3 linked regions of the Callithrix jacchus genome follow. The protein of the gene in region 1 purifies or fractionates together with the protein of each later gene. This does not show direct contact. Links are inferred from orthologs where the notes say so. Each region holds a gene or a part of one and is shown in the gene's direction. Other genes may lie near its edges. The genes, in order: CSNK1D, SNX24 and FAM83H.

Region 1 (3,747 bases):
CTTCCCAGTGATGGGAATCAAAGGCCCCAATCTTTGAAGCTGACCGTCAGCCTGAACGTGCACATCCTTGTTTTCTTTTGCAAGGAGGAATATTCAGATCCAACACAGATAAGAATGTTGACTCGGTCTCCAGGCCGCAGGGACTGGTGGGAGGCAGGTGGTCTGTCCTCATTTTGTGAAAGGTGGTAGCCTCGTCCTCATCCTTCAGGCTGGACATCAGGACCTCCCAGGGTGCGGGCCTCTCTGTCTCTGGCCTCAGGTGTCAGGAGGCAAAGCCGCTGACGTCCTGAGATGCCCCACGCCCGGGAACTGGCAGCCAAGTGAGAAGGTCTCACTTGTGTCCTCCGGGCCGGGCCTCAGCTACCTGTTCCCTCCTGCAAAGGGCACCGCCTGTCTCCAGGAACTCACCTGGCTCTCCCGAAATCTCGGGGGACACACGAAAAGCCCCAGTGAGAGCGGTAGGAGCCTGCACGTGGAAGGGGCTGGCGGCCTGAGGTCCTGGGATAATGGGCGGGCAGAGGGACTGGGGCCCTGCGAGACGGTGCAGGGTCCGAGGAGGCTGGGAGCGCTCGCCCCACCCGCCCCCGCCCCTCGAGCACTGCGGCCCCACCCGCCAGGGGGTTGCCAAGGGAAGTGACGTCACAGCGCGATGGCGGCGGCTCCTTCAGGCTGCTGAAAGGGGATTTAGGCCCCGAAGATCCGAGTCCATCCGCGGCGGGGAGAGGGCAAGCGGCGCCGGCAGGGGCCGGAGCAGCGGCGGCGGCGCTTGGACTGTCCCATCCGCCCCGTATTGAGGCGCTGGGAGCGACGGGGCAACGGGAAAGCGATGGTGAAAGCGGGGCCGTGAGGGGGGCGGAGCCGGCAGCCGGAGCCGCAGTAGCGGCAGCAGTGGCGCCGCCTCCCGGAGCTCAGACCCAGGAAGCGGCCGGGAGGGCAGGATCGAACCGGGCCGCCGCCGCCATGGAGCTGAGAGTCGGGAACAGGTACCGGCTGGGTCGGAAGATTGGCAGCGGCTCCTTCGGAGACATCTATCTTGGTGAGGCCCCGCCGTCCCCACCCGCCGTTTGAGGACCCGGGCCCCGCGGCTACCGAGACCAAGTGCGACCGCGGAAGGAAGTGGCGGCCCCCGCGGGGTCCGCGCGCAAGCCCTGCCGCCGCCGGGTCGTCGCTAGAACCCAACGGCCACTAGACAAGCGCGGCCGGGGTTGGGGAGGACAGTGGGGCGTGGACCTGGGGGAGGGGCAGGGTCGGGGGGTGGGGGAGCGGGGTCTGGAGAGGGGAGGGGTGGGAAAGAGGGGACAGGGGAGCCGACCCGGGGCGGGGCACGGTCTCGGGGGTGCGGAGTCGGGAAGGGGCAGGGTCGTCGGGGAGCGGACCCGCGAAGGGCTGGGTGGGGCGTGGGGAGGCGGGCCCAGGGGAGGGGCAGGGCGTGATGGGGGCCGCGGCCCGTGGGAGGGGAGGGGGAGGGGGCGGGGCAGGGCCGGGGCCGCGGGCGAGTGTCGGCTTGCTCCGCGCCTGAGGTCTCCGAGATAAACAAAGGCCATGCTCTTTCTTTCGCAGCCCTGTCCGAGGATGTTTGGCTCCCCAGTCAGAGGCTGCCCATGCGTCTTGCACGCGTGGGGGATAATGTCAGAAAGACCCGAATGCCGTGTGGAGCTGGGGGAGTGGCCTGGCTAGGAGCGGGGCTTGCCCTCCACCTCGCGGCCGCCGTCATGACTGACCGCTGGGGGTTCTCTCTGCACTGCGACCCTAGGCCTTGGAGCGGTGACTGAGTGCAAATGAAAGTCCCACAGGGTTAAGATGCTGGCAAAATGAGAGGCCCATGAAGTAGTAGTACTCATGAGCTGTCCTTTAACATTCTCAAGGTAGATTTCAAAAAAAAAAAAAAAATGGGATTAGAACATTCTGGGTTGTCATATTTACAACAGAAGAATATGCATGTGGGCACAAGTGTATTGAAAGATTGGCTGACATCTTCAAGTTTGTAAAAAAAATTTATTTTGAGATGGAATTTTGCTCTTGTTGCCCAGGTATAATGGCATGATCTCAGTTCACTGCAACCTCCACCTCCAGGGTTCAAGCGATTCTCCTGCCTCAGCCTCCCGAGTAGCTGGGACTACAGGCGCGTGCCACCACGCCTGGCTAATTTTCTATTTTTAGTAGAGACAGGGTTTCTGTATGTTAGTTAGGCTGGTCTCAAACTCCCGACCTCAGGTGATTCCCCGCCTCCCACCCCTTGGCCTCCCAAAGTGCTGGGATTACAGGCATGAGCCACCACGCCCAGCCCAAGTTTGTACATAATTTTAAAGTAACTTAATTTTCCGTACTTGTCAGTGGGATTGTGCAATACAGGAGTTATTCCAAGACCCCCTGAACTTGAGGATGTGTAGCCTCGTGGGCAGTGTGCCTGCAGAAGGCCTGATGCAGACCTTTGAGGGGACCTATTCTCTGTTCCAGCAGCCCCATCTCTGGGGTGTGTTTGGCTGGGGCACAGCCAGGGTCCGGAATCCTATGGGATGTCAGTAATGCCTCTGGTCGCACTTTTTAGATTAATCCGCATGTGAACAGTCCCTACATCTCATACCCTTCTCACTTTTCACCTGAGAGATGACTCAGGACCCAGTGGGCTGACAGCATTAGGCTGAACCCATACATTTGGGTGGGTCATACTTTGGGTGCCTGGTTAACCTACCAGTTAACCCTGTCACATGCCATATTGTTGCTTTTGAACCTGTATATATGCCTTAGCAGCCTGTGAGTAAAACACGCTTTAGATGTTTGGGTTGACTAAACATTTATACCCAGGTGGTCAGCTGGATATGTTCTTGGCAGTGTTTTGGAAGTCAGAGTGCTTGGTAAATGGAAGGCATTTGGCTTATTTATAGATTGATAGATTTTGGCAAAAGTTTTAACTCCACAGTCTGAGTTACACTGCAAAGCCAGTCCATTAACCACTCTTAGGCAGGCATCAAAAAGAAGTATTTTAGGCTGGGCGCAGTGGCTCATACCTGTAATCCCAGCACTTTGGGAGGCCAAGGTTGGCGGATCACTTGGGGTCAGTAGTTTAATACCAGCCTGGCTAACATGGCAAAACTCCTTCTCTACTAAAAATACAAAAATTAGCCGGGTATGGTGGCCGTCACCTGTGATCCCAGCTACTCAGGAGGCTAAGGCATCCTGAGAGGTACAGATTGCAGTGAGTCAAGGTCACACCACTGCACTCCTCTGAGACCTTGTCAGAACAACTTTGTGCTTTCCAAAGATAGATTCAGACAAATTCTGGTGTGGTTGTTACCAAGTCGTTCACAAAGGTGGAAGGTGGCAGGCTGTCTGCTCACTCATGGTTGCACCCTCAGGCCTCACCTCATGCTGGGCATGCAGTCACGCTGGAAACCATTAGGGTAGGGATTTCCGGTGACTGTGGCTCTGGCGCCCTGGGGTTGGAGCCTTCAGACAACCATCCATCAGGGTACATGTCCAGTTACTTGAGTGGGGTTGGGCACAGCTGATTTGTTTTTTTTCCATCAGCATTGGCTCCTGGCCTACATTTCAGTCCTTTCAGACGACCCCCCTGAGGAAATGAAAAGTGAAGTGGTCATGTAACCCGGAGTAAGGCAGGCTGGAGGAAGTGTGGGTCTGCGCAGAGCAGCAGTTAGAGTCAAGATGGCTGATCTGAAGACCGTGAAATCATCTCCACCATAGTTGGTTTGGGCAACCTGTTAGACACGAATCGAGGGACTGGACCTG
Region 2 (3,647 bases), on another chromosome or scaffold:
GCACTGAAATAATGACCTCTGGGCACCCAAAAAATTTCCTCAAATAGGTAAAAACTGAGATGAAAGTGAAATGATTTAAGGAAATTTAACTGAAATAGTAATGAAATTATGTCTCTGGACAGAAGGCCTTTTTCTCTTTATCTTCTGAACTTTTCATTTTTCTCTGGACTTGTAAGCTTTATTGTCATGTCCCAGTGTGTAATATATAGATGCCCAGTAAATTATTATTTAATTAATAAAATATAACACCCAATTTTTTTCTTCTGTCTTTTATTCCTTAAGCTTTCATGGGAACAGTGAGCTGTGTAAAGAACAGTAGCAGCCCCCAGTAGAGGTGGCTGTCTAGATCATCCCTCTCCAGGGACTGAACACTAAGAGGGCTGTGCTCTAGTGTGGGACAGAGGGCAACCTAGGAGGCCTGGCAGCCTGTATAGTCACCCACCCCATTTGTATGACCTGAACTGGGTAACGGTATTACATAACCTGATGAGAAATTGGGGCAACTCAGTATGTAAACCATGGCCAAAAACAAGATGTGATCTAGAACTATGTATCTACAAGGTACATATAATTTCACCTCACTTTTGTTGCTTGTTATGTGTCTTATGCATCACCTTACACAGTATTCCTGATTAGCTGTGTGAATGATGTTTCACCATCAATTCTCACAGTTCTTTAAACAATATATACTTATTGGACAAAATTTACCCATGGTAGTTATGAAAAATGACCCTTAAGAATAGTAGTATTGAACTCAGAGATTATTATACAATCTTTGATGCTTTTCTCCTATGGTCTTTTGGAAAAGTGGGAGGGGGTGGTGGCAAACGTACATTCAGTTCACACACTCTGGTAGACTTAAAAAGTGCATAGCTATGAAGATACATACTTCTTTGTCAGATTTCTCTTGACATTGCATAATCTGGATCTCTGAATACTGACATGGTTATGCCATTATGCCAGCTATGTAGCAAAGCTCACTAAATGGAAGAACTTTATAGATTTTTTTTCGGCGTGTATGCTGATTTACATTTAGCAGTAAAGTTGTTACTGACCCTTTAAGTGGAGCTGTCCAAATGGCAATAAATGTCAGTTGATTCTAATGCCAAAACAGGTGATAATTGAGGGTCTTGACTAAATCTTTCAGTTAAAAAATGATTTATCATATTTCCTAAATATTAGTGGTCTCCTGTAGGGAGACACACACACACACACATACACACACAAACGTGTATACATAATGTATATCAGATCACTTTATCACTCAGTAAGGAAAATTTGATATACATATCTTAATAGTATTATTGATATTCCCAGGTTTTGAAATACTCTAGATTAGAATCTCCATGAAGGCAGGAAGCATTTCTACCTGGCTCCCCACAGTCTTGTCCCCTAGACAGCATCTAGTGTATAGTAGGTGTTGAATAAATGCCCATTGAATGAAAGAACAAATAAACTGCAGCATTTGCCAGCACTGCCTAGCATGTGTGTCAGCTTGAATTTCTGGTGGGCAAAACAGAGACCACTCCTCATCTTGACTCTGAGGAATGTTGCTGGTAAGAACTTTGATGGACGGTTATGACTTTTTGAAATAGTTCATTTGATTGATCGCCTAGCAAACTTCACTTCAGTTTCTAATTCTGTTTTCTGCTTTCACAGGCTGTCATTTTAGAAAATGAAGAACTTCCCAAACTGTTTCTTGATTTCCTAAACGTGCGACACTTGCCCTCTCTACCAAAGGCAGAAAGTTATGGGTAAGAATCATGTTTGCATATTGGATGTGTATTTTAAATTACACTTCAATGACTGATTGGTCTAACAAATAGCCCAGAGTAGTGCCCGAGTAGCCAGCCGGCCACGCCCACTCTTTTGGCTTGCTACAATACTCGCTCGCCCCCTGCTTGTGATCAAAAGAATTCCTCTAAAGTCCTCATGCCCATCTTGTGGCCAGATGGCCATGGTTTAGTAACCCATGTTTAGACTCGGAATCAATCTTTTCAGTTACACTGTTACATAGAATGATGTTACTTGATGGGAATTATGAATCTAGATAACTTGTTATGGACTCATTTATTAGTGAAAACTCAAGCAAAGTCCATATCCTGGTAGTACACATATTCATATATAAATATATTTTTTTAGGGGATGGGGGGATGATGGAGTCTTGCTCTGTTGCCCAGGCTGGAGTGCAATGGCACTGTCTGGGCTCACTGCAACCTCTGCCTCCCGGGTTCAAGCAATTCTCCTGCCTTAGCCTCCTGAGTAGCTGGGATTACAGGTGCACACCACCATTCCCGGCTATTTTTTTTTTTTTTTTTTTTTTGTATTTTTAATAGAGATGGGGTTTCACCATGTTGGTCAGGCTGGTCTCAAACTCCTAACCTCGTGATCTGCCTGCCTCAGCCTCCCAAAGTGCTGGGATTACAGGCGTGAGCCACCGTACCCGGCCCATATTCATATAATTTTAAAGCTGTTAATGACCTCAGAGATGATTTGATCCAACTCCTCTCATTTTGTAGTTAAGCAAACAGAGACACAGGAATTTAGCGTCTTTCCCAAGATCTCTTGTCTTGTAGCTGACAGAACCCAGGCCTTCCAAGGTGAGCCCTCTTCCTCTGCTGTCCAGCTGCCTCTCTCAGGAATTTCCAGTGGCAGGACCACAGACTCTAATCCCTATCTACCAAGGACCCAGAGGTTTGATATCATCAGCAGTTGGGAAAAGCTCTCCTGAAGAATTAACTCTGAAGCAAGTCGCTTGCCCAGCTATAGGCACATGACATAGGCTGAGCTAGCTTCAGAAGGCCTTCAGGAACATCCGTGGCATACTATATCCGTTTACAGAGAAGGAAATCATTACAAACTCTCTGAAAATTCAAGCAAGAGGCAGATTTAACCATTTTCTCACTGTTTCCAGACCTGCCTGAAGGAAACACACTAATTACAAGAAGATCAAGCAGACCACACCCAAAGTCGTTAAACCCCAGCCGTCTGCTGGATGACAGGGCTGCAGACAGTTATCACAGCTCCTAATGGGCACTGTTTATCAGGGCCATTTCCACTTATTGCAGAGCAAAAATTGTACACTACACTTGGCAAATAATATGTTGTCAGTGTGTTCTGTTCCAACTCCTATGTGTTTATAGGGTGGTTAGGCTTCATATATGTTTATGTATTTTTCAGAACAGACATTAGCAATAGCAGTGAGTGAAATGTTTTCTCTATTATACAAGCCCAAAAGTAATAAAACCTGAGAATTTTTAAGTAATCTTCAGGAAAATTGAAATCAAAGAATATTTCAGTCTTCAGATTCCTTAGGACGGTGCATAGCCATGCTGTGGCTCAGTGGAAACTCACAACTCTTTTTAAAAATATTTCCCAATTCAGTGGTCTGATAACATTGGGTATTTTTTCCTTTGTTGGCATTAACATTGACTCAACATATGTGGTTTTTCTTTCTTTTTCCCCCCCTTTCTCAAAACTTTTAGATCTTTTGATGAAACAGAATCTGAAGAGTCAAGGTAAGGGCTATTCTTCATCAGCCAGGAATAAGATTATGATCTTGCTAAATGTTTGATCACCATGATGTGTTTCAAGTTTTGTTTTTCTTAAAAACCTCTGTTTGGAAATTGGTTTAAGATTATAAATAT
Region 3 (3,747 bases), on another chromosome or scaffold:
CCGTGTGTACACCCAGGGTTCCATATGTGTGAGAGAGGTCCCCTGTGCTCTCAGAGTCAGTGTGAATATGGCATCCCCTGTTTGCCTGATCCCCTGGGTCAGTGTCTGAGGGATCCCAATTGCAGGTGGGGTTCTCCACGTGCGCAGACGTCAGCGTGTTCCTGGGTGACTGGTGTGCAAGACTGAGTGTGCTTGTGGGTTCTGCCTTCCTGAGGATTCTTCTGTGCTTGTGCGGTTGGTGTACATGAGGAACGGGTCATTCCAGGCCCGCGTGTGCATGGGGGGTCGGTGTACATGAAGGATGAGGGACAGGTCATTTGGGGTTCGTCTGTGCAGGGGGTCAGTGTGTGCAGTGTCCCCTACACGGGTGGGCGTCGGTGTACGGGGATGAGGAAGAACAATAGGGCACCCCAGGTGCTGTGGGCATCAGTGTGTGTGGGGGAGCCGGGGCCTGGGGGTCCTCTGTGTGGGTGGGGTCGTCCCCTCTACGTCTGGGCGCCAGTGCGGAAGGAGACCGGTGTGTGGTGAAGGGATCCCCTGCGCTCTCGGGGCTCCCAGACCCGGCCCCACCCGGCGCTCGGCGCCGCCGCAGCGTACTCACCTGCCTTACCTGCCTCCCCAACTTGGCCAGGAGGCCAGAGCTCCGCCCCTGGCGTCGGGCTGGCTCGTTTCCTAGCTACCGAGCCGGAACTTCCGCGTCACCCCGACTTCCGGGGCGAGGGTCAGGGGTCAGCCTAGGACTTTGAGCCTGGGGTCAACAGCTGGGCTCCCCGGGGCCGGGGTCTTTGAAGTGAGGGCCTCACGGCCTCCGGCGGCGCTGGGCCGGGGTCCCCGCAGGGTGCGGGCGGGTCGGGGCGGACGGTCGGGGCGCGGGCCGGGGCGCAGGAATGCGGGCGCGCCGCGGGTGGGGCCGCCCCGCCCCCAGGTGCTGCCCGGGCAGGCAGGAGGCAGGAGCGCCGGGCGGGGCGGGGGCGGGCGCGTGAATCAGGCCGGGCCGGCGGGCGGGCCGCGCAGGGAGTGGCTGCCGGACCGACCGGACCGCGAGGCCGCTGGGCGGCGGTCGGCTCCTGCTGCCCCTGTGCCGAGACCCCGCGCACCTGGCCAGGTAGGGCCCCCTCCCCCGGCCCGGAGGGGCGGGGCGAGGTGGGGGCGGGCGCCCCTCGGTGCGGTCCCACCTGGGCCGCCCTCGCGCCAGCACCTGGGCCGGGGCCGCGCGATCCAGAGAGGGGCGTTGGAGCTGGGGCGCGGCCGCGTGCGCGGGGCGGCGGGGGGCGGCTCGGACAGGGGGCGCCGCTGCGCGGATTTGGACGCGAGCGCCCTCGCACGACGCCGGCCCGCGAAGAGCCGATAGGAAGGGGCCCGGGGCCGGGTCCAGCCTGCCCGGCCGCCTGGTCCCGCCCTCGCGGCCTAGTTGGAGTCTGGGTGCTGGGCACGGGCTGGACCCGTCCCTGGGGACGGCCGCCGTGGAGTGGGGTAGCCAGAGTGCGGCCTGGATCCCCGCGTGGAGAGCAGGACGAGCGACGGGAGTGCTGCCTCTCGTGCCCACGTTCCTGGGGTGGGGTGGGCGGATGGGGCCCCCAGCCGCCGCAGTTGCGAACGCGTAGGGTGCGCTGACCACGTTGGGCGCTGGGGTGCCCACCCCGCAAACTATCACTGAGCGACTTCCGGTCTGTGAGCTCCGTCCTCCCCACCCCACCTTTCCGCCTCCTAGAGCCTCCACGCCCTCCTGTGCCCGTTGGAACGGCACAGGCTCACCCCACTTGGTGTAGGAACTCTGGATCCTTCCATGGGGTCCTCCTTCCAGATACCCCACTTACGGCCAGGGTGGAGAGGATGGGGTCCTTAAAGTCCAGCTGAGAGCCCTGACCTCAAGTCACAGATCGGGGTCAGCAGAAGAGTGGATTCGTGCTGAGTCATTGGCCATGGGTGGGTTCCGTGCCCTCCCTCCCTTGGGCAGGCGTTGCTACACAAATGTGTAGGCATGCAGGCCACTGGAGTGCTCCATCTCAGGCTCGGGAGTGGCTGCGGCCCCGTCCATAGCTGGGGAGACACGGACCCATGAAAGGGGACAACACGGGGAATGAAGTCGTTGGAGGAAGCCATTGGCATCACTCTGTGTGGACGCTGGTGTCTGCTGGAGGGCTTTTGGCCACAGGGGCTTCCACAGTCCTGACAGTCCCTGCCCACATTACACACAGCCTGGACACTGTTGACTCCCCTACCCTGTGAAATCCAAAGGGACAGTGGGGGTCCTTTCTAGAGTGCTGCCCCCCCAGCAGCAGGAAGTGCCCCTCAAGATCAGCAGGGCTGTTCCCTCAAGCCCTGTGTGATCAGACACTGCCTCTACAGCCAGGCTGGCAGTGGTGAGTGGGCGCCCCCACCCAGCCAGACAGGCCTGCCCCTCACCCCCATGTGGTCGGCCTTGATCTGCTCCTGGCACAATCAAGACAGTGTGCCCTAACCAGCCCCACATGTCAACCATGAGGACAGTGCCTCAACAAAGAAATGTTGGGACAGCTTCTCCCAGGCCGGTTGGCATCTGGGGCTGGATAACTGAGTGGCACCAGGTATTTCCCACGTGTCAACTCCATGTCACCCCCAGGTGCGCCAGGCAGGACGGCTGCCGCCTGACCTTAACATTCTCAGCCAAGTGGCTCCTGCTAGCACCCATGCAGTCCAGCTGGCCAGCGCCCATCCTGTCAACGCCCCAGGGCACGCTCCTCTGTCTGGGCTGAACTGCCTCCCCAGCCAGGGCCAACATTCAGGAACCTGTGTGCTAGGTGGGGATAGGTGTGCTGCCTCCCTCAGCAACCTGAGGAGCACTGGGATGGGCTGAGTGCTCCCTAGGGCTCTCCTTCCAGGGAGAGGTACCCAGGTAGCTCCATGACCATGTGCACATGGGCCCTGGGCACCCTATAGAGGTCCCCATCAGACACCTTTCTGGAGAGGCCAGGCCCCCTGCAGGGACCCTTTGGAGAACAGGGTGGGCTGTGGGGCAGGCAAGCGTGGATGGTGGTGGGGAGCCCAAGACCTGGAAAGGTCCCTGCTGCTTTGGACTGGGGTTGGTGGGGACAGGACTCTGAGCAAGTAAAGAGCGAGATCTGGGGGCTGTGGAGTGCAGGCCCTGAAGGACCTGTGGGCACCAATGGGCTGTGGCCCAGGGAGGTTTCATCTAAGAGGGACAGTGACAAGAGAGAGGTCAAGGGTGGGCCAAGGGAAGGAGAGGGGCTGGTAGACAGGGACAGGGTCTAGGGGTCAGTTCCAGGGCTGGGTGGTCAGAGGATGGGCTGTGGGAACCCAACTGTGAAACTGAGGATGGGGAGGAGGTGTGGCTGAGGTCCACTAACGAGGACCTCCGCGTTCCTGGAGGAGGGTGGTCACAGCCCTGTTTGCTCATCTTAGGTGAAGCATGGCGTCATGTGGACCCTCAGCTGTGTTGTGCAGAAGATGTACAGGCCAGAGAGGTGCAGTGACTTACTCGGGGTCTCCCAGGCAGTCAGAGAGACACAGGCAGCATGGGCAGACCAACTTGTTCAGTAGGCACAGTGCCAGGGGCTCATGAACATCTTAAGAAAAAAAGCGAATATTGTAATGATGAACGTAGCCCAGATTACGTTTGTCTTTAAACCAAGAATCATGAAAGTTTTAGAGGGTTTGGTTTTATTTTTTGTAGCGATGCAGTCTCACTGTGGCCCAGGCAGAGTGCATTGGCACAATCATAGCTCACGGCAGCCTGCAACGCCTGGA

Evidence for each region.
Region 2: the proteins of CSNK1D (region 1) and SNX24 purify together in Homo sapiens (affinity purification with mass spectrometry; 3 studies listed by BioGRID and IntAct, counting the BioPlex papers as one, with this or other methods). This does not show direct contact. The link is inferred for Callithrix jacchus from reciprocal best matches to the Homo sapiens genes CSNK1D and SNX24.
Region 3: the proteins of CSNK1D (region 1) and FAM83H purify together in Homo sapiens (co-immunoprecipitation; 5 studies listed by BioGRID and IntAct, counting the BioPlex papers as one, with this or other methods). This does not show direct contact. The link is inferred for Callithrix jacchus from reciprocal best matches to the Homo sapiens genes CSNK1D and FAM83H.

Annotation. Positions count from the first base shown.
Region 1 is NC_133506.1:137,905,600-137,909,346, reverse strand, and holds the start of CSNK1D (casein kinase I), read left to right. Parts: upstream 1-910; 5' UTR 911-960; coding exon 961-1,036; intron 1,037-1,728; exon of another isoform or gene 1,729-1,865; intron 1,866-3,747. UniProt on the Homo sapiens protein: Essential serine/threonine-protein kinase that regulates diverse cellular growth and survival processes including Wnt signaling, DNA repair and circadian rhythms. It can phosphorylate a large number of proteins.
Region 2 is NC_133503.1:86,337,599-86,341,245, reverse strand, and holds part of SNX24 (sorting nexin-24), read left to right. Parts: intron 1-1,659; coding exon 1,660-1,754; intron 1,755-3,485; coding exon 3,486-3,518; intron 3,519-3,647. UniProt on the Homo sapiens protein: May be involved in several stages of intracellular trafficking.
Region 3 is NC_133517.1:53,882,269-53,886,015, forward strand, and holds the start of FAM83H (protein FAM83H), read left to right. Parts: upstream 1-1,012; 5' UTR 1,013-1,105; intron 1,106-3,402; 5' UTR 3,403-3,464; intron 3,465-3,658; exon of another isoform or gene 3,659-3,747. UniProt on the Homo sapiens protein: May play a major role in the structural organization and calcification of developing enamel. May play a role in keratin cytoskeleton disassembly by recruiting CSNK1A1 to keratin filaments. Thereby, it may regulate epithelial cell migration.